Linked DNA regions of Caenorhabditis elegans. The protein of the gene in region 2 interacts with the protein of the main gene of each other region in a biochemical or structural test. Each region holds a gene or a part of one and is shown on either strand. Other genes may lie near its edges.

Region 1 (6,225 bases), on a different chromosome or scaffold from region 2:
ACAGAGCTCACTTTAAAGAAATTTGTTAGCATTTTTTACACGTACCGCTTTGATTCCTGCCTCTATAAACGTGTGTGGTCTCATTGCGATGTCACGAGTTGTTCCATTAGTCCACGCCGGCGTGCCACGTTTCAGGGTTCGGATATCAAGTGTGCTTTTGGTGAGAATGGCGGACGACATGCCGAGGCCGATGTTATTTGTGGTTTGTCCTGGTGTTTGATCGCATGATGGAATACTTCCACAGCTCAAGCTCCTGCGGGTGAGCTGGCGGTGAAGTGAGACACGTGGCGGGTCCTGGTTCTGAGCTCGAGAGTTATGAATAGTAGTGGTGGTGGTGGTAGTGGTGGTAGTTGTCATTTCTTGATGAGGTGTAGAACCATCATCACGGCATCTTTTTGGAGGTGTACCACCCTCATTCTGAAAGAACAAACGCAATTCAACAAAAACTGTCATGTCATAATTTTTACCGGCTCTTCATCTATAGTAGCTGTCATAACACGGCTTCTGCTCCTCTTCGAATTGGCAGCAGCAGTAATCGCATGTGCTGACGCGCTTCTCCGCTTGCCACCAACTGCGTTTCCAGCAGCTGAGCTTCTTCTGACCTCTCTTCCATTGCGCAAATGAATAACTTCCTCGAAACTGTCTCCAGTTTCATCGTAATCCACCTCACTATCGTCCTCATCGTCCTGTGTGTCCTCCATCAAATGTGGATGCCTCTGCTGCACCCGTTTCGAGTATGTCCGGACCAGTGGCTCGTGAAGAAACTTGAACTGATCGCGGTCTTCCTTGGTGAGACTATTGAATATACCGTTCTTCATCGCATCTTTCAGCTGCTTTTCACGAGTCTCGTAGACGTTTAGATCGAGCTTCAACGCCTTATTTTCTTCCATCAACGCGCGTAAATGTTTCTGAGTGTCTTTGACATCGATATCGAACATTGCCAGCTTCTTGCGAGCTTTTCTGAAATAATAGTGTTTTCTAAACACGTAAACATGAAATATTTCACTTACGCAAGTGCTTCTTCGGCCTCTCTCATATCTGCATTCAGCCGCTTTTTGGATTCCTCGGAATCTTTCCACAGCTTGCGGAGACGCTCAATCTCATCAATCAAATGAAACATTCCTGAAACACGTCATTAAAATTTGAAAATGATAATTGAAACTAACCTATATCCTTAATATCGAATTGCGGTCGCTGTGAGTTTAGAATCATGTTGAAAATGTGACGCGAGTTTTCGCCGCACACCTTCTCTTTTGATGTACTGGACTTCATTCTAAAATGTGGAAATGATTAGAAAACGAGAAACTCGCCCGAAAATAAGAGAAAAATGCGTGAAAACCGTTTCAAATTTCGTGGAAAACAGTTCGAATTTGAAGCTCGCTGCGTTTGTCTCACACGCGACGCGACCCGCTACGCTTGCCATAGGGCGCACATGACTGCGAGGACTAGTGTGCACAAAAACATGGGGCTTCAAGGCCTCGACTAGTTTTTTGAATTTAATGTTTAAAACTGCAAGCAGGCCCGCTAGCAGGAAATTTTTTTGTTAATTTCTAAGTCAAATTTTCAGCTCTCATGAAGCATGTCTGATGAAATCTCTATATTAATACAAGATAGAAAAACAGGTCAACGTAGGAATCTAACACTTAATGTAGTGGACATTTCAAACTTTGAATATATACATTATTTTTTTCAGATAAATATAACTGGAAATATCGAAGATCTCACAAAAGATGTGGAAAAGCTCACCGAAATTCCCAGCGATGAGCTGGAAGTGGTTTTCTGTGGGAAAAAGTTATCAAAATCAACGATTATGAGGGATTTGTCACTGACACCTGCAACGTAGGTCAAGTAAATATTTACTTATATAAATAACTGGAATTGTTATTTATATAAATAACTGGAATTGTTATTCAAATAATATTATTTCAGACAAATCATGCTTCTCCGTCCAAAGTTCAATAGTCACAACGAAAACGGTGCTACTACTGCAAAAATAACAACAGATTCTTCAATTCTCGGAAGCTTCTACGTGTGGTGCAAAAATTGTGACGACGTCAAGCGCGGCAAACTGCGGGTTTATTGCCAAAAATGCTCGTCAACCTCTGTTCTAGTCAAATCTGAACCCCAGAACTGGTCCGACGTTCTCAAAAGCAAGAGAATACCGGCGGTCTGCGAAGAATGCTGTACTCCAGGTCTTTTCGCTGAATTCAAGTTCAAATGTCTAGCCTGCAACGATCCGGCCGCAGCTCTAACTCACGTACGCGGAAATTGGCAAATGACCGAGTGCTGTGTTTGTGATGGGAAGGAGAAAGTGATCTTCGACCTCGGATGCAATCATATTACATGCCAATTCTGTTTCAGAGTGAGTAAGAATCTAAATTTTTTGTTGAAATTGTTTAATTTTAAAGGATTATTTGCTAAGTCAACTGGAACGATTCGGTTTTGTCAATCAGCCGCCGCATGGCTTCACCATTTTCTGCCCCTATCCAGGGTGCAATAGTTCGTTCGATTTTATCAAAACCATTCAATTTTCTGCAGTAGTGATCCTGAAAACTAATTGATAGAAACAAAAAATCTTCCAAAAAATACAAATATGTTATGTTTCCATTTTGCAAGTCTGGCATGGTTTTTTTTTTGCAAAAAAAACCCCCACCCGTTCTATTTAAATTTATTTTGAAAATTTTCTCACATGTTTCAATAGTTTTTCAATGCCGAGAAAATTGAAAAAAAAAGTTTTAAAGAAATTAAACAGAACATTTAATTGAAAAATAACTTCAGGAGTGGTACAAGATGTGCACCATTTCCACATTATGGGTCAGACGTCGTACAGCGAATACCAACGGAAAGCCACCGAGCGATTGATTGCCGTGGACGACAAGGGTGTGACTTGCCCGAATGTCTCGTGTGGGCAGAGCTTCTTCTGGGAGCCCTATGATGACGATGGAAGATCCCAGTGTCCAGATTGTTTTTTTTCGTTTTGCAGGTATTTTGAGCTTCTAAATCGGAAATTTTATCGCAATAAATATCATCGTTCAGAAAGTGCTTCGAAAGAAATTGTGTGTGCCAGAGCGAAGACGATCTCACCCGAACTACAATTGACGCGACTACAAGGTGATCTCAGCGATTATCCACTACAAAAAACTGTAAATTCTTCCAGAAGATGCCCAAAATGCCACGTGGCAACCGAACGGAACGGCGGATGTGCTCACATTCACTGTACCTCGTGTGGAATGGATTGGTGTTTCAAGTGCAAGACAGAATGGAAGGAAGAGTGTCAATGGGACCATTGGTTTAATTAATAACTCTCTAAAATTCATCTTTTCTAGAGATTGTACGTGTTATTCTGTAGATTTTTACAACAATTACGGTGTGTCTGAAGTTACATTGACATTTTTTCTCTTCAAATTTTAGATCTTTTTCTCAATTTTTGTTGCTGAGTATTTCGCTCATTTCATACCTTTTTTTAAATGTTTTGCCAAATTTCAAAGAACACATTTCTCGCAGGGATCTCCATAGACATGTCAGGACAAGGACCTCCACCAAGTATGACGCCGCAGCAACAACATGTAAGATTTTTTGTGCTTTTGAACTTGAGAGTAAATTTTAGTGAATTTGAGCACATTTTACAACCTTTTTCGGAAAAATTTCACACTTTTCTACGGCTTCATCCTTAAAACAATTGAAGTCAAAAAATGTCTTTTTTTTAATTTTGGGAACAAAAAAAATTAATGAAAATGTACAATCACACCAACATGGAAACATTTCTTGAGCTTCGGGATATATCTCAGTTTTGGAGTGGGCTGAAAATTATTTTTTTCATGAAAATTAAAAAAACAACTTTTTCATGAAAACAAAACTCACCGCATTTTTTAACTGAAATTTGAAAATTTCTCACTCAAATATCCTTTAAAGTTTCATTTTAAGACGTTTTCAGAGCTTTTTTAAAACCATATAACCAAATTTTAAACTAGGAATAAAAAGATTATAAAATAAAAACATTTCAGATGTTAATGCAGCAGCAACAGCAGCAACAAATGATGCGGCAGCAACAAATGCAGCAACAACAAATGCAGCAGCAACGTCAACAGCAAATACAACAACAGGCTCAACAGGTAGTAATATACCGTCCAATTTATCGAAAATTTGAAATAGCACTTTCTGATAAATTTTTTAACGTAAAATTAAAATATTTTATGATTTTTTCCGCAAATTTCTGATCGAAATTTTTTAAAACATTAAATTAAACAGATTTAGCGTATTTTATCGCTAAAACTAAAGAAATTTGATAGGAAACATACCATTTCGGTTTTTTTAAATAGTAAATAATAACACTACGATACAAATAAAAAGCGCTTAAACATATATTATTCGGTACTTGTGTATTATACCCCCGCCATTTTAAAAATTAATTTTTTAGCTTATAAAATAAAAACGTGTGGAATTTTAGGCTTAGGAAAACACCATTCCTAAGCCTAACAAGGAAAATGGGTATCACGTTTAATTTAAACGGATAAATTAATGGAAATTTAATTAATTTCTAAAATGGCGGGGGTATAATACACAAGTACCTATTATTCTGTAAAATATCGATTTACCACAATTTTCAGCCATACCAACGAGCTCGAACTCCACAAATGGTACCACAAGGAGGCTCGCCGGGAGGTGCTCATCTCCAAATGCATCCTCATCTTCAACCACAAGGACAAATGCAACCGAGAAGCCCTCTAGTTGGAGCACAGCTTCAGGCTCCCTCGTCGGTGCCCACTGCCGCAAATCCGACCACTCCACAGATGATGCAACAGCAAATGGGCATGAATGTACGGGGAGATTTCTGATAAAACTTAGAACTATTGAAAAAATATTTGGAAAAAATTCAAAAAGGGGAAATTAGTGAGAGTTGGAAATTCGTGTTTTTGGAATTTTCATTTTCTTTTCTTTTTTTTGTGGTATTTCAGCATATGGAATGTTCCTAGTATTTTAAAACTGAAAGTAAATCCCCATTTTCCGAACTCTACTTTCATTCAAATTTCCGATTATTTTGTTCAGAATTTTTGTTGGAAATTAAAAAAAAACCAATCTAAAACAATTGGCCGTTCAAACATAAATCTCCAAATAAAAGTAATTTGTGACAATCTTTTTTAGCTGAAAAAAAAATGTAATTTCAGCAACCAATGTCTCTTCCGCCAACACACGTCTCACGTCCAGGCTCAGTTGCTCCGCCGTCGTCGGTTCCCGTCAATTTACAACACACATCTGGTGCACCCGGGCTCCCGGGCTCACAAATGGAGCATCAGTACCCAATGCATTTGCAGCCACAACAGCAGACATTATCAAGGCCGGGGTCTCAGCAAAGTCAACATATTCAACAACCCGGAAGCATTCAAAGACCTGGATCGGTAAATTTTCGGATTTTATTGAAAAATTTTAAAAAAACAGAGAAGAAATATACAGTGCTTCACATAATGATACGGCCACCCCCAAATTTTGGTATAACTCAAAACTGGGTTGAGATAGCAAAACATAGTTTCTTGTGAAAATGTTCGCTGTACTGGCTAACTTTCAGATAAGTATTGGAAATATACCTGAACCGTTCGTAAAAAAAGATAAACCATTTTTTCATGAAAAACCATATAAAAAAATCCACAAAATGATACGGCCACCCTTGGTTTTTGTTTTCTTTTTTCGTTTTTTTTGCAATTTTTTTTGCTAAACGTTAGGTTTCATGTTCGTTTGTGTTTTTACAGCTATGGGTCGTGGAATAACTTTAACTGACTACGAAAAAGGACAAATTGTGCAAAATTATCTCAAGGCTTCTCGGATCGTCAGATTTTTCGTGATTTGAAACGTTTGAGAGATATGATCACTCGATATGCTTCAAATCCTGCCGCTTATTGCACCAAAAAGTCTTCTGGTCGCCCACCACTCCTTTCTGGTAGAGACAAGCGAAAAATCGTTCGTCGAGCATTCAATTGAACAGTGACTTGCTCGAAAAGTAGGAGCGAGATGAACCTGCCAGTGTCTGTTGAGACCGTACGTCGTGTCCTTCGAAGTCCCAGTTTATCAAAAGACGAAAATTAATAAAGGCTAATTTCATTACCGAAAAACACGGCCAAAATCTTATTCAGTTTGCTAAAATCAGCCAGAGAACTAACTGGAGACAAGTGAGGATTACGGTATGATCATTCAATCTCATGTTTTGGTCTCAGATCATCTTCAGTGGCGAGA
Region 2 (7,991 bases):
GGCACAAATAGCGCAGAAATGGCATCAATCCGTACGACGAGCGACGAGCTTCGTGAAGGACAGCAAAAGCTGAAAAGAATGCTCGAAGAGCTCGAAACTCAACGGAGCAGCCTTCAGACCGCCTGTGAAATCTATACGGCAAAGAAAGCAGAGCTCGCGAAAGCTCTTTCAGACGCTGGAGGCACTGATGCTCCACCAATTGATGAGGCAATTGATGCCGCTTTTCCGTTGCACCGACAAATTGTGCTCAATTATGCGAAAGATTTGACATGTGATGACGTCATTTATTCACTTGGTATGGAACGAAAAGTTGGGAAAAATTGGAAAAATCTAGCTGGAATTGCTCAATCCTGAGGAAAATGTGCAAAAATTGTTTTCAAAAAATGCAGAAGTTGAAAATTAAGAAAAACTAGTGAAAATGTTTCAAAAAAATTAAATTAAAGTTGAGATTTTTCGAAGTTTCTGAGAGATTTGAAGCCAAATTAAAAGCGTTTTTCTGAAATTTTTCAACGATTTCGTCTATTAGCACTACTACAAATCATTCAAAAACCCCCGAAAAAAAACAGAAATTAGTTAAAATTGACTTTAAATTCTAGAAAATTCACAAAAACTACAAAAAATTGGAAGTTTCTGAACAATTTTCAGCCATTTTTACTCCAAAATTTTGTTGAAATCGTTCAAAAATCAGTTTCGGTTTTATTTTAGCAAAAGTGTTTTTTTTTTGCGGAAATTTGATAGAAAAATTATTGAAAATGACTGAAAATTGGAATTTCAGCAAATTTTCGGTGTAAAAATTTTTCCGAAATCCAGCAAAAAAAAAAACGAAAAAAAATTATGGTATTTATGAGAAATTTTTTTTTTGCCTAATCTTCAAAATTTCAGGTCAATCACTGAAAAAACGCCAAATAACACTTGCCGAATACCTCCGCCATGTTCGTGACGTGTCCCGAGAGCAATTTATCTACCGAGCAACAATGCAGAAATGTCGACGAACTGCTGGTCTTCCTATTTAAAATTTAAATAAAATTTGGATTGAAAATCGTGGAAATTTTTGAGAAAAAATTGCTAATTTTTTGACCAAAACTGGAAAATCGTGAAAAATTGTCCATAAAAATGCTAAAAATTCGATAAAATTCTCGATTTTTGGATGAAAAATACTTTTTTCAATAAAAAGTGGGAATTTCAGCGATTTTCTGACGAAAAACTTAAAATTATTGCTGAGAAATCGAGAAAAATGCATTTTTTTAAAACGATTTTAGCTAAAAATTCCATATTTCATTTATTTTCCTGATGAAAAATTGTTTAACATCAAAATTTCGGTGCTTTTCCGTGATTTTTCAAGTTTTTTACATGTTTTTCCGTTAAAAATTCACTTAAATCTTCTAATTTCAGCCGAAAATTGTAAATTTCAATAATTCCCGTTAAAAATGATGGAGCTTCTATTGAAAATTACCTCGAAAAAAGCTTTCTTTTTTTGACGATTTTCCAGCCGAAACATGTAAATTACGACGAATTTCAGTGACTTTTTTGTCAAAAAAATTACGGTTTTCACTCATTTTTCCATCTTCTCATTTCAAAATTTCTCCCATTGCCGCCATTTTTCTCTAATACTCCCTTTCTCTCCGTCTTGATGCCCGTTGTGATTTGGTTTGTTCTCTCTCTCTCTCTCTTTTTTTCCGTTTTATAGACACAATTTTCTAGATTTTTCCCCATTTAAAATATCCAATTTTGCACCCATTTCCCCATTTTTCCCGGGGGAAAAGCTCGCTTTTCTCTCGAAATTCGATGACTTTTTCAGGTTTTTTGTTCATTTATTTTTTGTACAAAAATTTTAATTTAAATGTGATTTTTCCCCCCATTTTTTTCTGATTTTTTCGCTCAAAATACCGTGATTTTTGGCGGTTTTTCAATATTTTTGATAGATTTTTTTTGTTGCTATTTTTAAGCCAATTTTTCCAGCTTTTTGTGCTTGTGCTCGCGGAGCTCCCCACAAATGCAAGCGATCAAATGTGTCGTCGTTGGTGACGGAGCCGTCGGTAAAACGTGTCTCCTGATATCCTACACCACAAACGCATTTCCCGGAGAATATATTCCGACGGTGAGTCATTTTTAAAGCAAAAATTGAGATAAAATTACGTTTTTTGGCTCAGAAAATAGGACATTTTGACACAAAATCGAAAAAAAAAAACAAAGAAATTTAGGCAAAAAATATTCAAAATTGTTGTATTTTGATCCAAAAATCATTGAAATAAATATTTTTTTAGGCCAAAAACTGGGAAAAATAGTGAAATTATCAATACTGAAAATCGTGAACATTTTGATTTATAAAACATTTAAATAAAAAATAATTTAAATTAAATTTTTTTTGCTAAAAATCGTTTTAAAAAGTACATTTTTTTAATCAAAAAAATAAGTGAAATTTCACTGAAAAGTATGAAAATTAAAACTTCCGTTTTTTACGGAAAATCTAGACAAAAAACTTTTCAAAATGCGATAAAAAAGTTTTCTGCAAAAATCGTTTTAAGAAACACATTTTTAGCGAAATTTTGCTGAAAAATATGAAAATTGTCAACTTGTTCCCATAAAAATCAATAAATTAATATTTTTTATACCAAAAGCTGGGAAAATGGTGAAATTTCATATAAAAATTGGTATTTTTATTTGAAAAAAAAATGTCGAAAATTTCAAAAAACTTCAGTTTTTTTAAACGGAAAATCTAGAAAATTTTGATTCAAAAAACTTTTAAAAATGCAATAAAATTGTAGGCTTTTTGCAACAAAAAAATTGAAAATTTTGAAAAGCGCACAATTTCCCGCAAAAAATATGAAAGGTGTCTTCTTTTTCCCAAAAAAATGCTTTTTTCCCATAAATTCAAATTTTTTCCAGGTATTCGACAACTACTCAGCAAATGTGATGGTCGACGGTCGGCCGATAAATCTCGGGCTCTGGGATACAGCTGGACAGGAAGATTACGATCGGTACGGGCAGCGGGAAAACTGAAAATGCTCGAAAAAACTCAGGATTATGGGTTTTTTCAATAAAAAATTGCTCAGGATTATGTGATATTTTCCTCAATCAAAATGTGGAAAATATCACATTTTAGAAAATTTCATCCAATTTTTCATAAAATGACAGTGATTTTGAAGCTATTTTGTGGTGAAAAACTCGAAAAACATGGAATTTTTCGCACTTTGCACTAAAAATTACCCCAATTATCAATTTTTCAACACCAAAAAAATTTGCAGACTCCGACCACTGTCATATCCACAAACAGACGTGTTTCTCGTATGCTTTGCCCTGAACAATCCGGCGAGTTTTGAGAATGTTCGTGCGAAATGGTATCCAGAAGTGTCACATCATTGCCCGAATACGCCGATTATTTTGGTTGGAACGAAAGCTGATCTGCGTGAGGATCGAGATACTGTTGAACGGTAGATTTTTGGAGAATTTGAGAGAAAAATTGAGGAATAAAGTGAAAAATTTGTAGAAAATGATGAAAAATTGCCAAAAAATTCGAAAAAGCGCATAAAAATTCAGAAAATCACTTAAAAATTGAAGGAATACCGCCAAAACATTAGAAAAATCATTAGAAACGGCAAAAAAATGAGAAATAAGGAAAAAACGCATCAATTTCAGGAAAAAAAATTGCAAAAATTGTATGAAAAGTTGCGTAAAATAGCACAACATTCACATAAAATTTTGGAAAAAAATTTGCAAGATTTTGAGAAATTTGCTCAAAATGTTGAAAAAAAAATTAAAATTAAGATAAATCGCTAAAGAAATGTAAAAAGTTGCACTAAATTCGCATAAATTGTGGACAAAAGTTTGAAATTTTGAAAAAAAGCACATTAAACAAAATTGGCTTAAAATCGAGAAAACTTGCAAAAATTCCGAAAAAAAAAATTTTTTTTGCAGGCTCCGCGAACGCCGGCTCCAACCAGTGAGCCAAACCCAGGGCTACGTGATGGCAAAGGAAATCAAGGCTGTCAAGTATCTGGAGTGCTCGGCGCTCACGCAACGTGGTCTGAAACAAGTTTTCGATGAGGCGATCCGAGCCGTGCTCACGCCGCCACAAAGAGCCAAAAAGAGCAAGTGTACGGTGCTCTAAGATGGGGAAATTGGAGCAAACAATCGCAGAAACTACAACAATTTTAACTATATATATACATATATCATCTGGATTTTTTTTGTTTTATCGATGAATTTTGCTGTGAAATTACCGGTTTTTAGGGAGTAAAAATTGGCAAAAACTGAGCATTTTTAGGCAAAAAACTCGCCGATTTCCGTTCAAAGAAATGCTCCAAATCGGCTGAAAATTACTATTTTTTTTAACCGAAAATCGGCCAAATTTCCACTGAAAAAGCTCAATTTCAGCCGAAAATTTCTCGATTTTTTTCCAGAAAATTGTCCAAAATCTGGGCGTTTCCACTCTCTAAATCTGAATTTCCAGCACACTTTTTCTCATTTTCCCCCTCTATTTTTATCTCTAAAAATTTGTTTTGTATCAACGATTTTTCATCTTAAACTCGCTGTGATACTTTTCTTACTTATCCACCCCAATTTTCAGCATATTTTGTGCTCATTTTTGAGCCGAAAAATGCTCAATTTGTCCATTCATAATTTTGTGCTTTTCCCCTTTTCCCACCTGAAATAGGTCTTTTTTCATCTGAAAAATTGAATAACTTTTCCCCAAAAACCACAAGTGCTTTTTCCTCTCTAATTTTTATCGGTTTATTTTTTTTATTTGAAATTTCTTCGAAATTTTTGTGAAATTTCTTCGAAAAATCTGAAAATGTTTGGAAATCTCTACGATTTTTTCTAAAAAATGTTCAAACTTTTTGGAATTTGTTTGAAAAATTATTTGGAATTTTTCTGAAACTTTTTTTCAAAAACTTTCGATTTTTTTTTGTAATTTTTAGGACACAACGAACCCTCTCTCCACAACCAAAAATCCTCTTTTTTCTATTGTGAATTTGAACAACAAACTCGGCTCTTTTTCCCTTTTTTCTTACTTTAATTGTTAATTTCTCTTCTTTTTGTCCAACTTTTATTATGCTATTTTAATATGATGATATGATATTTTACCACACTTTTTTTCTATGATGGAATTTTAAATTTGAACATTTTTTGATGGAAAAATTGGAAAAAAAAACAATTCGAAAAGTTGCAGAGATTACAGATTTTTCTGAAACTTTCGATCAAAAATTTCAGATTCTGAGTTTTTTTACATTTGTTAATCGGACACAGAAATGAATGAAAAAAATCCTAAAAAATTTCCGAACTTTTGTTTTCTCGGTGGCCTAGAAAACCTAGATTTCTAGGAGTTTTCTAGTCCCCGGGCATTGGCCACCCAGCAAGCACGTGTGTGTGTTCATTGATCGTTAATGTGTGGGTTGACGCTGAAACTCTTGATCCCCAAAATCACTTTGATAAATCTTTTCAAACTGATTTTTTCCGATGAATCTCCAATCCATTTTCTGCTTCCCAAATACGGAACTTGAATAGTCAACGGAGTTATAAGAGTACTCACTAAGGTAGCGATTACCACAAAAGAGCACCCACAAGAACCATGTAACAACTGGATAGTGCTAAATATGATTGGGAACTGAAAACTGGTTCAAAAAATAAAATTGAATTACATCGAACTAAATACCGATTCAAATATTAGCGCAGTGACTGCCTGCCAGAAAATGTACTTTTGCAGAATATAATAATGACCAGAGGTTACGTAAGCATTTTTTCTAACGCTTCTCATGATCGGAATATAAAATAGTGTTGAAAACAGTTGTAAGACATACGGAATAATGATGGTTGCCTAAAATAGTCAATTATGTAATATCGGATTGACGGGACAGTCAGAATTTTCAAAGAAAAGTTTATGCGGAAATTCAAATTTTCAGATATAAATTTTTTGTGGAAGATACCAATTTCTTGTGATACTATTTTTGTTGGAAATGCAACTTTTCTGATAGAAAGCTTGACAAGAAATTTAAAAAATTTTACTGAAAAATCTTTGGCGCGAAATTTAAATTTTCTACAAAAAATTTTACTCTGAATGAAAATATAACAATTTTTGGCGGGAAATCCAAATATTCTGAATTAATCTACAGCGGGAAATTCAAAAGTTCTAATCAAATTTGGCGGAAAAGGTAAAAAAAGGTTTTGAAAGTTTTTTTCTTGGAAATTTTAGATTTTATGAGAAAATAATTTGGCGGGAAATTAAATTTATCTGATGATTCTGAATAGTTTTCAGGTGTCAAAGTTCCATTAAACGTACACTGGAAAATGTGTCAAACTTTGCCTCAGCCGCTGTGCTTCCATTTGATAGAACCCATAGTATCGCTTCTGTTATTAAAAATATGATATATAAATACCAAACGTCCTTGAAAAAGTGTTTCTGGATAATTGAAACTTGCTTCTCCAGTTTTGGGAAATAGAAAACCAGAAATTGTTGGAATGCCAGGAAAAACGTGGTAAGATAAAATGCCTTTGTAAGATGATACATGGTAAAACACAATGCATAAAAGATCACAACGATTAGAAAGCGAATTATTACACTGGAAATCAGAAAATTCTTTAAAAAATGGTTTTTTTAAAACTGAAACAGTACATTTCGTGAATTACATGTAGCAACGTATGGAGAATAATCGAGAAAACAAACAGGAAATACGCTAGCTGCACCATTTCGTAAAAATGTTGAACTGTTGGGAAGAGCAGCATCTACCAAAAAATTTTCCACTAATTTTCAGAAAATCACTTATGGGGTTATTCAAGTAATGTAGCAAAATGTATTTAGATACATGTTTTTATATACTTGAATACAGTTGTGACGTAATTTTTCTACACTTTTTAATTTTCCGACATTACTTGAATAACCCCATTACCTTCTTGTCCCGGTCTCTATTGATTTCATAGAGATACTTGTAGAATGGAAATATAATTAAGTTAATTAATAAAAAAGCATATGATATAAGGTCAAATTCAGCTCCTATGCTTTCGAAATATATGTTATCGGAGTTATTTGAAATTTTGGTGTCGTTCATTGATTTCTACTCGGGTTTTGAAAAAAAAAGTGAGTAGAAATGGGGTGCGATAATTCACCTGCACTTGAGAAACTATGAGAAAATAATAATAATAAAATTGGCAGCTGTTTAAAGGTGGAGTACCGAAATTTGGAAAATATTTTCAAACAAGTACAAACCCCTGATTTCGAAAAAAAATTCTCTGATTTTATATTTGAGCTTGAAATCACTTTGCGTCCCCATGAGTTTTTTCAAATGCGCGCCAAAAAATTATCATTGGAGTGCGCTTGCTTAGCTCCCGGAAATCGAGATGAAGCAAGCGTGCTCCAATGTGAATTTCTTTGAGCACACATTTGAAAAGGTCATGGGTGCACAAATGAAACTCGATCTTTAGCTGAAATTTAAAATCAGGGAAATTTTTTTGAATTTTTTCACATAAATATTCGAAATCAGGGGCAAACTTGGAGGCCAATTAACAATTTAGAAAAAAAAGTTTCAAAAAACTCAGAAATTTAAATTTTCGAAAATTATTCTCAGAAAAAAGTTTTTTTTAAAAAATTAAAATTCATTATTCCAATTCAATTTCTAATTAATAATATACTTACAAAAACAAAACACAACTCAAGAAATAATATTACTTCCAACATTTGCCACCAATTTGGCACTGCCTATCGATGCCGCCGTCGTCGTGGCCGCCAGCAAATGTGTAGGAATCTGCAAAAACTCTAAAAAATATTTGTTTTACTCCCCACTTACTTGGGCGGCTTAATCTTGTACTCCGAGCCACCTAATACAAGTACCTAATCTGAATATCAGGTTACCCCCCCCCCCCCCCCCCCCAGGTACTGTAACTATTTTGGGTGATGGGAAGAGAGATTAGGCTAATCTTGTTGTAAGTAGGTAAGCAAATATTCGAAAACTTAAAAAAAAAAGTTTGTTCCCCTGCCTACATGCCTGCCTATGCCTATT
Region 3 (6,980 bases), 8.1 Mb from region 2:
TACAGTGACACATGGAGTTAAAGTATAAAATACTGTAGGATCAGATGTAATCGCATCATCATGAAATCCGCTTTTGAATCCCTTAGCCTCTTCAGAAGGACACTCGAAACTAATTTGGTTTTGACCCGATTCACATCGTTCTTTTATTCGTTTACTATTACTATTAGAATACCGTCCATCATCCGCTCCCTACATGTTTTCATATTGTCTCCTTCGACATTTATAATGTTTTTATTCATATGTTTTCAGTCTATTCTTTCTTTCTTTCTTTATTTCAACCTGTATTAAAGAGCATCCACGTCATCGTCTCCCCCTTTCTCTGCGTTTCCACTACTTGACCTAGTCTCTCGATTATCGCTGACAATCTCGAATTTCATCACAACATCTTCTCTTCTTCGACGCTCACCAGTTGTGGCTAGTCGATAGGCACCGGATCTCCATGTCCTTCTGCCGGTCACGCTTGACTTCTCAGCCCTCCACCATGTTCATGGATTCAGTGATGGGAATTGGAATAGCTTCATAGATTTTCTTTCCGGACCGGTCTTTTTTGGAGATTCTTCTTCATTCGGGAAGAACATGTGTCTAACCACCTACGTCTCTCTAGTCTTGACCGCTCTATCGCTCCAATCCGTGTTTACAGACCTTGGAAAGGCTCGGCGGAGCGCGCACGCACCTCTAGTCGTCGAATGCGCTTGTTAATTACGGCAAACATACGTTTCACACTTTATTTTTCTCTTTCTCGACGCACATTTCGAATTTCTATATGGTATTGCAAAATGCAAATAAATATATAGACTGTACTGTATTGCCTATCTCGCATTTTTCATGTTCTTTTCGTTTCCCATAAGAGTACATTAGCCGTGTAAGGAGGATTAGTGTAGGGATATTACGACGGCCACTACGAGAAGGTGCCAATTGGAACCTTGTTCTTCCCAAGTGGACGAGACAATGAGACCGATGAACGTCATCATTACATAACATTCTTATTCCTTCTTCATTGGAATACACTTTCTTTAATTTTAAATATTTATGTACTCATGAGACTATATAATCCATTCTGAGCTTATTAATTCTAAAATTTTTATATAAAAAATATTCCCAGTGCGCTATTCATTTCTTTATGTTGTCAGAAAAAAGTTATTCTTGTCTCTTGTGTCCGGCAGTGTCCGGCAGCGCCCTTGTTTGTCGGAAAGAGAAAACTAAAATAAAAGTTTTCCTCTCTTTTTCAAGAAGCCCAAGGCGTTTTTCACTTTCAATCGTTCCTTTCCTGCTTCGTCTTCCAAAAAAAAGCATGAATTTTTTGGAATAGCCGAAAGGCTTTAGAGACCGAGTCAAGATTGATGGCATCCTTTTGCCAGTCAGCTCCAAAACCAATATCCGTTATTTGGGATGTTTTTCTTCATTTCTCATTCATCAGGTATATGTTAGGTGCCGATTGAATGTTGTCGTGGAAGAGGAATATGATGTTGATGGACAATAAAGATAACATTGTCCTGGTCTTCCCCTCTCCTGTTGCCTCATAGTAATACTTTTACATAATCTCGGATGAATAAACATTTGTCCGTTCCATTTATGTTTTCTTCTTCTTCTTCTCGAAAATAGATTCGTTTCTATTGAAAGGGTCAATATTTAATCCATAGTTAATCTTCTATTGAGGAATTACTTTTCTTGAAGAAAAGAAGAGCAACGAATGTCGGTTTACTTCTAACTTGATATTTTTAAGCTTGTTATAAATATCAATTCATATTTATACTTTTTTGTTAAAAAATTATTTCAGGTAACTATGCATCTACGGGAGCCCCTCAAATATGTATGTAAAATATTAATTGTTTGCGCCCTAGTGGCTTTGTTTTCAAAAAAAAAAGACGATGACTTTAGCAAAAACGAAATCAAATACATATGCTTAATTCAGTCCATCTGCTTCACTTTATGTTGATGTCTATTCTCTTTTTGCAATTCCTATTATTTTTCTGTCGTTCCTCTTGTCCTGAAACCGTATTGTTACATGCCGTCCTCGGTGTTTCTTTCCACTGTTTTTCTGAAAGCTACGTCCACCAAACCCTTGTTCACTTTTTTTTTCTATTTTTCGCCAGCCACACGTTGATTTATGTGAAGTAGCAGTAAGGGGGCAAACGCGGGCTTTACCATCTGCCAAGCTAGTTACTTTTTTCGTCCCGCTCCTTGCGCTTTTTGCTTGCCCATCTCTTTTTTTGTGCTTTCTCAAACTAACTCTAGCCACTCAACTCTTATAAATCAATCAAACAAATTCTATAAATTGTCCTCCTTTTCTCCTTGCCTATCCTTTGTTTTTTTCAAACAATCCGTGTTTCTTCCATACTTTCCCCTTCAACCCGATATCATTCATTCAATTTATAATTTTCTTTTCCAGAATTTCACCCAAACCACTTGCTTCACCCGTGCCGACCCCAAACATGACGACGTCTTCGTCTGAAGGTGGGGCCGGTGGCCAGCACGAGGAAACTTCGATGACGTTAACTTCATCAACATCAGCAGACAGAAGATGCTCACAGGACGTGAGAAAACATTCACAGCACAAACAAGAAAAGGCGATTGTACACGATTTGGAGTGTGCTGCTAAAGGTGAGATTTTTTGAAATGTTGGAATCGTAATCTTTTCTTTTGGTAACTTCGAGAATTTTGCAACAAAAAAAATTAAAAAACCTTCCGTATTACCCAGACACAAAACTTTGTGATTTTCGAGCCAAAATACGGTAACGGGTCTCAACACGACAATTTTTTTTTGAAAAATACGAAGAGGAAATTTAATTAATTCTCTAAGTTTTTCTAACAATTTGTTAAAAATTTATGGATTTTATTTGAGTTTGAGAATACAGTAGTTTTTAAAGCACACTTTTTCGAAAATTCAACCAAAATTTATCGTGTCGAGACCGGGAGCCATATTTTTGGCGCAAAATTTCGCGTTTGAGTATCAAAACTGAAAAACTAAAAAATAGTTCGATATATTAAGCTTCAAAGTTTATTAAAAGTATTTGTCATCTTGATCTTCCCTCCAAGTTTACATTGAATTCATTTCGTTGTTTTTTCTTTCCGCTCACACCCTCTCCAACTAGTTTATGTTGATCCCATCACGAATTGGGGGTAAGTAGAGATATAAACATATATTACGTGCCACATTGTGAGGAAAAAACTTGTTCAATGTTCCTAGTGTTGTTCATCATAATCAAACATTTTAATTGCGATTTTAAGTATAGAACACTATCATTTTCATCCATTTTTCGCGCCTTTTCACCCTATTATCTAAACAATCATCAGCGGAAAGAAGTCGGTACACAGTCAGAGAGAGAAAGAACACACGGGCGGTGCGGGAAAAAAGAAAAGAAACATTTTCATTTCGCACCCCATCGCCATCGTCGGGCGACATCAACGCATTGACAATTTATTGCGATTGTGTGTTGGAAACTGCGGGAAGTCACTTGTCACTTGAACCAAAGTAATGAATAGTTATACTAGAGGGGAACTTGCGGAATAATAGAAATGTGATAGGGCATCAGTACGGGGGGAGTAGTGAATAATTCGAAGCCACTGCCGCCGCCAACCTTGTTCTCCCCTTATACCTGTGTCGTAAGTGTGTAAAGTTGTTTTGGAATCATTCTTCTTCTCTATGGAACTTAGAAAAGAAAGACGAAGACGCAGAAGATGAAAGGGCATGCGATGGAAACGGATCATCATCGCCCCACCCGGGAGCCATGAGAAGGCAGTTGTCTCTCTGTCTTCTCTCGAGAGAATCTCTTAGAGAACGAAAGTCATTTAGTCTTCTGTCTCTTCCCATCTTATTTTCCCACACTGGTGTTCGTTTTGATCTAAACGTCATGCGAACATGAGTATTCGACTACCACTATGTGCATCGATTGGTGTCGACGATCAGTATGATTTCCAAGGTTAGTTAGAATTGTAGAAGGCCCTACTTGAATAAAGTATGAATTTTCCAAGATAACAAATATTTTGTTTATATGTTTTGAATTTAACGAAACATGAAATTCACCACTGTAGTTTCTTATGCAAATAATTTCAAAACGACAAAAAAAAATCACTCAGAAAACCATGTGATGTGAAAACGCTTTCAGAATCATGAATTCGATGTTCTATTTTTCTCCAAATCTTATCTCCTTTTCGATCAAATTCGTGTGATAGTGGGATAGGCCCAATTCCTGTGACAATAATGACTCACAATGTTATAAACAGTGGAAGGAATCTCTTGTCAACATTCAATTCCTACTACTTTTTCATTCTTTCCGATACTATTTCATGATCCTTTTTTCCTACTTTCCGCACCTTGACTTCCGTCCTTCTCGTCCTCGACGTTTAATTGTTTCTTCTACCAACCCAAGAATGCTAATACTTTCTTCACTCCCTAGTTTTTGTCTTCATATCGTATCTTTGTTCGATTCGAATCGACCTGGCGTCCCAGACAATAGTAATGCCTCCTTCCGTGCACTTCAGAGCTCTTTCTGCAGCCACGGCCACCCATTTCATAAATCATCCTCAAAATTGATCCGTCAATTTCGTTGTCCCGTCTTCGTTGTCCCGTCCACTCTGGGTTTGCTCATGGACTCATCTTCAGAGGGATCTGTCCATCTATCTATCGGCTCCTTTTCTCTCGTTTTGTTCTCTAAGTATGTGTGTATGTCACACCTGCAATTCGGATTCCATGTGGTCGACACCACATGTTGCTTCTTTATATCATTCTTTCTTAGTTTTTTCTTCCAATTTTCGTTATTTTGAGCAGTTTCACCATAAAACCTTTACCACAAAAATATCGTAGATATAGCCATCAATTCAATGTACCAATTTCTACGGTCTATTAGTCGAGTAGACTAGAATACACGATATGCTTTGTACTGCTTTCTGACTCTCTCACCCACTATCAATGATTGATTTCTTAACATTCAGATTGGGCCGGATTACGTCCTCAATTTCTACAATGTGTAGACTTATAGAATTCAGAGAATAAAATAGTTGTCAATATCAAAGTTTAGTTTCACTAATTTTTTCTTCATCCATCTGTAGAATTACTTGACGTAGATTTTATTCTGCTATATTTTCCGCCAAAATCTCAAAACTCCCACATTGAATTCTTGATTTAAATTCCTACTTCAACTTGGCACATTTCAATGGCTGTGTAATTCAATTCGATGACTATGACTACATAATTAGGTAGGTAGTATCCTCGCCTTTCTCTCATAGATTTCCCACGACTACTGTTGTCTTCGCGCAGGAGGACTACCAAATAGAATGGGAATATGATATTGAATTGCTCTCATCTCAGAGTAGCTTCATACACACAAATGCACACGCACTGGTTGTGTCATTTAGGCTGATGAGCAATATGGTGGCGGCATCACCACTCTCTACACAGAAGACCGCCAAATGTGTCCGTATGTCTCCAAGGCGATCTCCATTATACAAGGAGGCGTTGAGAAGAAAGAAGGAGCGTCTTTCCATCTTTCTAGTGTTCTGAGCACTGGATTCCGATAAGCACTCGTATTCCTTACTTTTAAAAAACCCTCTAATGTTTCATCTCATCTCTAATTCACGCATTTCATTCAAATTCTCGTTTCGTTTTTCGTTTTCATCGTCTCCACCACCATCATAGTGAATTGGAAGAGAATGAAGGAAGACGAAGGAGAAGAACGTCAGTGAGGAGGAGCATGTGCGTGTCCTTCATGCTTTTGCCTCAGTCGCCATTTTTTACAAGTCTTCTCCCGTGTTTTTTGGCCGAGAAACACTGCAAAATGTTATGCATGAGTGTATGTGTGGGAAGAGTGTGTGGCAAAGCACGGCGCGAAAAATTTCATTTCAGTTCTCTTTTTTCCACGTCCATGAGCTCTCTGCTTACTCTCCCGCAACTCATAATTTGATCTGAAGAACACCTTTCCCCTCCCAACGAGGCAAACAAATTTGAACTCGATGGTGCAATGTAACCAGCAAACAGTTGCCGCCATCTTATGAGATTTATTGCTGGGAGGAGAGGCCTATAAGGCATGGGAAATGTCTGTATTGTCTGTTTGTTTTCATGTTTATTTGTACAAATGTTGCAACGTTTTCTATTTTCCAAAGAATCAAATAGGGGTTTTCAACAAAACATTTTTCCGTATTTAAGATAAGTTTATTCCAGCTATAATTTCTCAATCCTCTCGTAAAGTATTCATTTTCTTTACATCCCCTATTCAATGTCTGTTTTGGTGTTTTTATTTCCAATAGCAGTGAGAATCTCATTTCTTTTCTTCCTTTAATACTATAAATGACTTTCGAGAAAAGAAGCGGAAGTATCATTGTTGAGAAGGAGACACCACCAGAAAAAGGCTCTTTGCCAATATTGCGACACATAAAGGGGCTCTTTTTGTTTTTCAATTCTCCCTTTCTCTCACTCAGACAACACAGAAAAATGAATGGGCAATTTAACTGCTGACTCTCCTTTCTTATTGCAACAATTTCCTTGAATACAATCGTTTGTTTTTTCAGAGTTCCGCACGAAAATGAGCGACCAGCTGAAATGTCTCGGAGATCGAACAGATGTACAGATGAGCAGTCTCTCCGAACTTCAGGATTACTTTCGGAAACGAGGCGAAATCGAGTCAGAATATGCGTGTAAACTGGAAAAACTATCCAAAAGTATAGCTCAAAAGCACAAATCAGAAAGAAGTCGACGAGAAGGTTGGCCACAGCACACCTCCAGTACAGTATGGCATACGTTAGTTGAACAGACGAAAGAAGAATACAAAAAGCGTCAATCTCTTGGAGAACTCTATGGAAAACAAATGACTGCCAGTATAGAAACTAGGTGTGAGGATCTTGCCAAAATATCGAAACGATGCAGAGAGATCGGTTCATATTCACACAATGAGCTGAATAGAGTACTTACCGAACTTCAAACGGCAATGAAAACCTATCAATTATGTTATGCTGAAATGTGTGGAATTGAGAGAAAGAAACGATCA

Evidence for each region.
Region 1: of the proteins of ced-10 (region 2) and pdr-1, one has a biochemical effect on the other in vitro, tested with the Caenorhabditis elegans proteins (one study listed by BioGRID).
Region 3: the proteins of ced-10 (region 2) and srgp-1 form a complex in vitro, tested with the Caenorhabditis elegans proteins (one study listed by BioGRID).

Annotation. Positions count from the first base shown.
Region 1 is NC_003281.10:13,769,952-13,776,176, forward strand, and holds pdr-1 (E3 ubiquitin-protein ligase parkin), read left to right. Parts: upstream 1-1,567; 5' UTR 1,568-1,579; coding exon 1,580-1,648; intron 1,649-1,693; coding exon 1,694-1,839; intron 1,840-1,929; coding exon 1,930-2,362; intron 2,363-2,408; coding exon 2,409-2,499; intron 2,500-2,778; coding exon 2,779-2,983; intron 2,984-3,036; coding exon 3,037-3,111; intron 3,112-3,157; coding exon 3,158-3,299; 3' UTR 3,300-3,393; downstream 3,394-6,225. Other genes in the region: cyk-4 (Rac GTPase-activating protein 1), read right to left, coding at 46-417, 468-960, 1,011-1,122, 1,167-1,272; mdt-29 (Mediator of RNA polymerase II transcription subunit 29), read left to right, coding at 3,519-3,566, 4,005-4,112, 4,608-4,817, 5,166-5,396.
Region 2 is NC_003282.8:3,503,496-3,511,486, reverse strand, and holds ced-10 (Ras-related protein ced-10), read left to right. Parts: upstream 1-1,959; 5' UTR 1,960-1,993; coding exon 1,994-2,098; intron 2,099-2,378; exon of another isoform or gene 2,379-2,528; intron 2,529-2,886; coding exon 2,887-2,978; intron 2,979-3,245; coding exon 3,246-3,431; intron 3,432-3,915; coding exon 3,916-4,108; 3' UTR 4,109-5,159; downstream 5,160-7,991. Other genes in the region: tsg-101 (Tumor susceptibility gene 101 protein), read left to right, coding at 2-295, 883-1,013; srz-83 (Serpentine Receptor, class Z), read right to left, coding at 5,372-5,605, 5,654-5,815, 6,278-6,557, 6,611-6,720, 6,885-7,043; ceh-53 (Homeobox domain-containing protein), read right to left, coding at 7,644-7,736. UniProt on the Caenorhabditis elegans protein: Required in engulfing to control the phagocytosis of apoptotic cell corpses. Required in embryonic development for the correct positioning and orientation of the mitotic spindles and division planes in blastomere cells.
Region 3 is NC_003282.8:11,568,111-11,575,090, forward strand, and holds the start of srgp-1 (Rho-GAP domain-containing protein), read left to right. Parts: upstream 1-2,389; 5' UTR 2,390-2,432; coding exon 2,433-2,601; intron 2,602-3,556; exon of another isoform or gene 3,557-3,859; coding exon of another isoform or gene 3,860-3,920; intron 3,921-4,417; exon of another isoform or gene 4,418-4,626; intron 4,627-5,571; exon of another isoform or gene 5,572-5,925; intron 5,926-6,504; coding exon 6,505-6,980.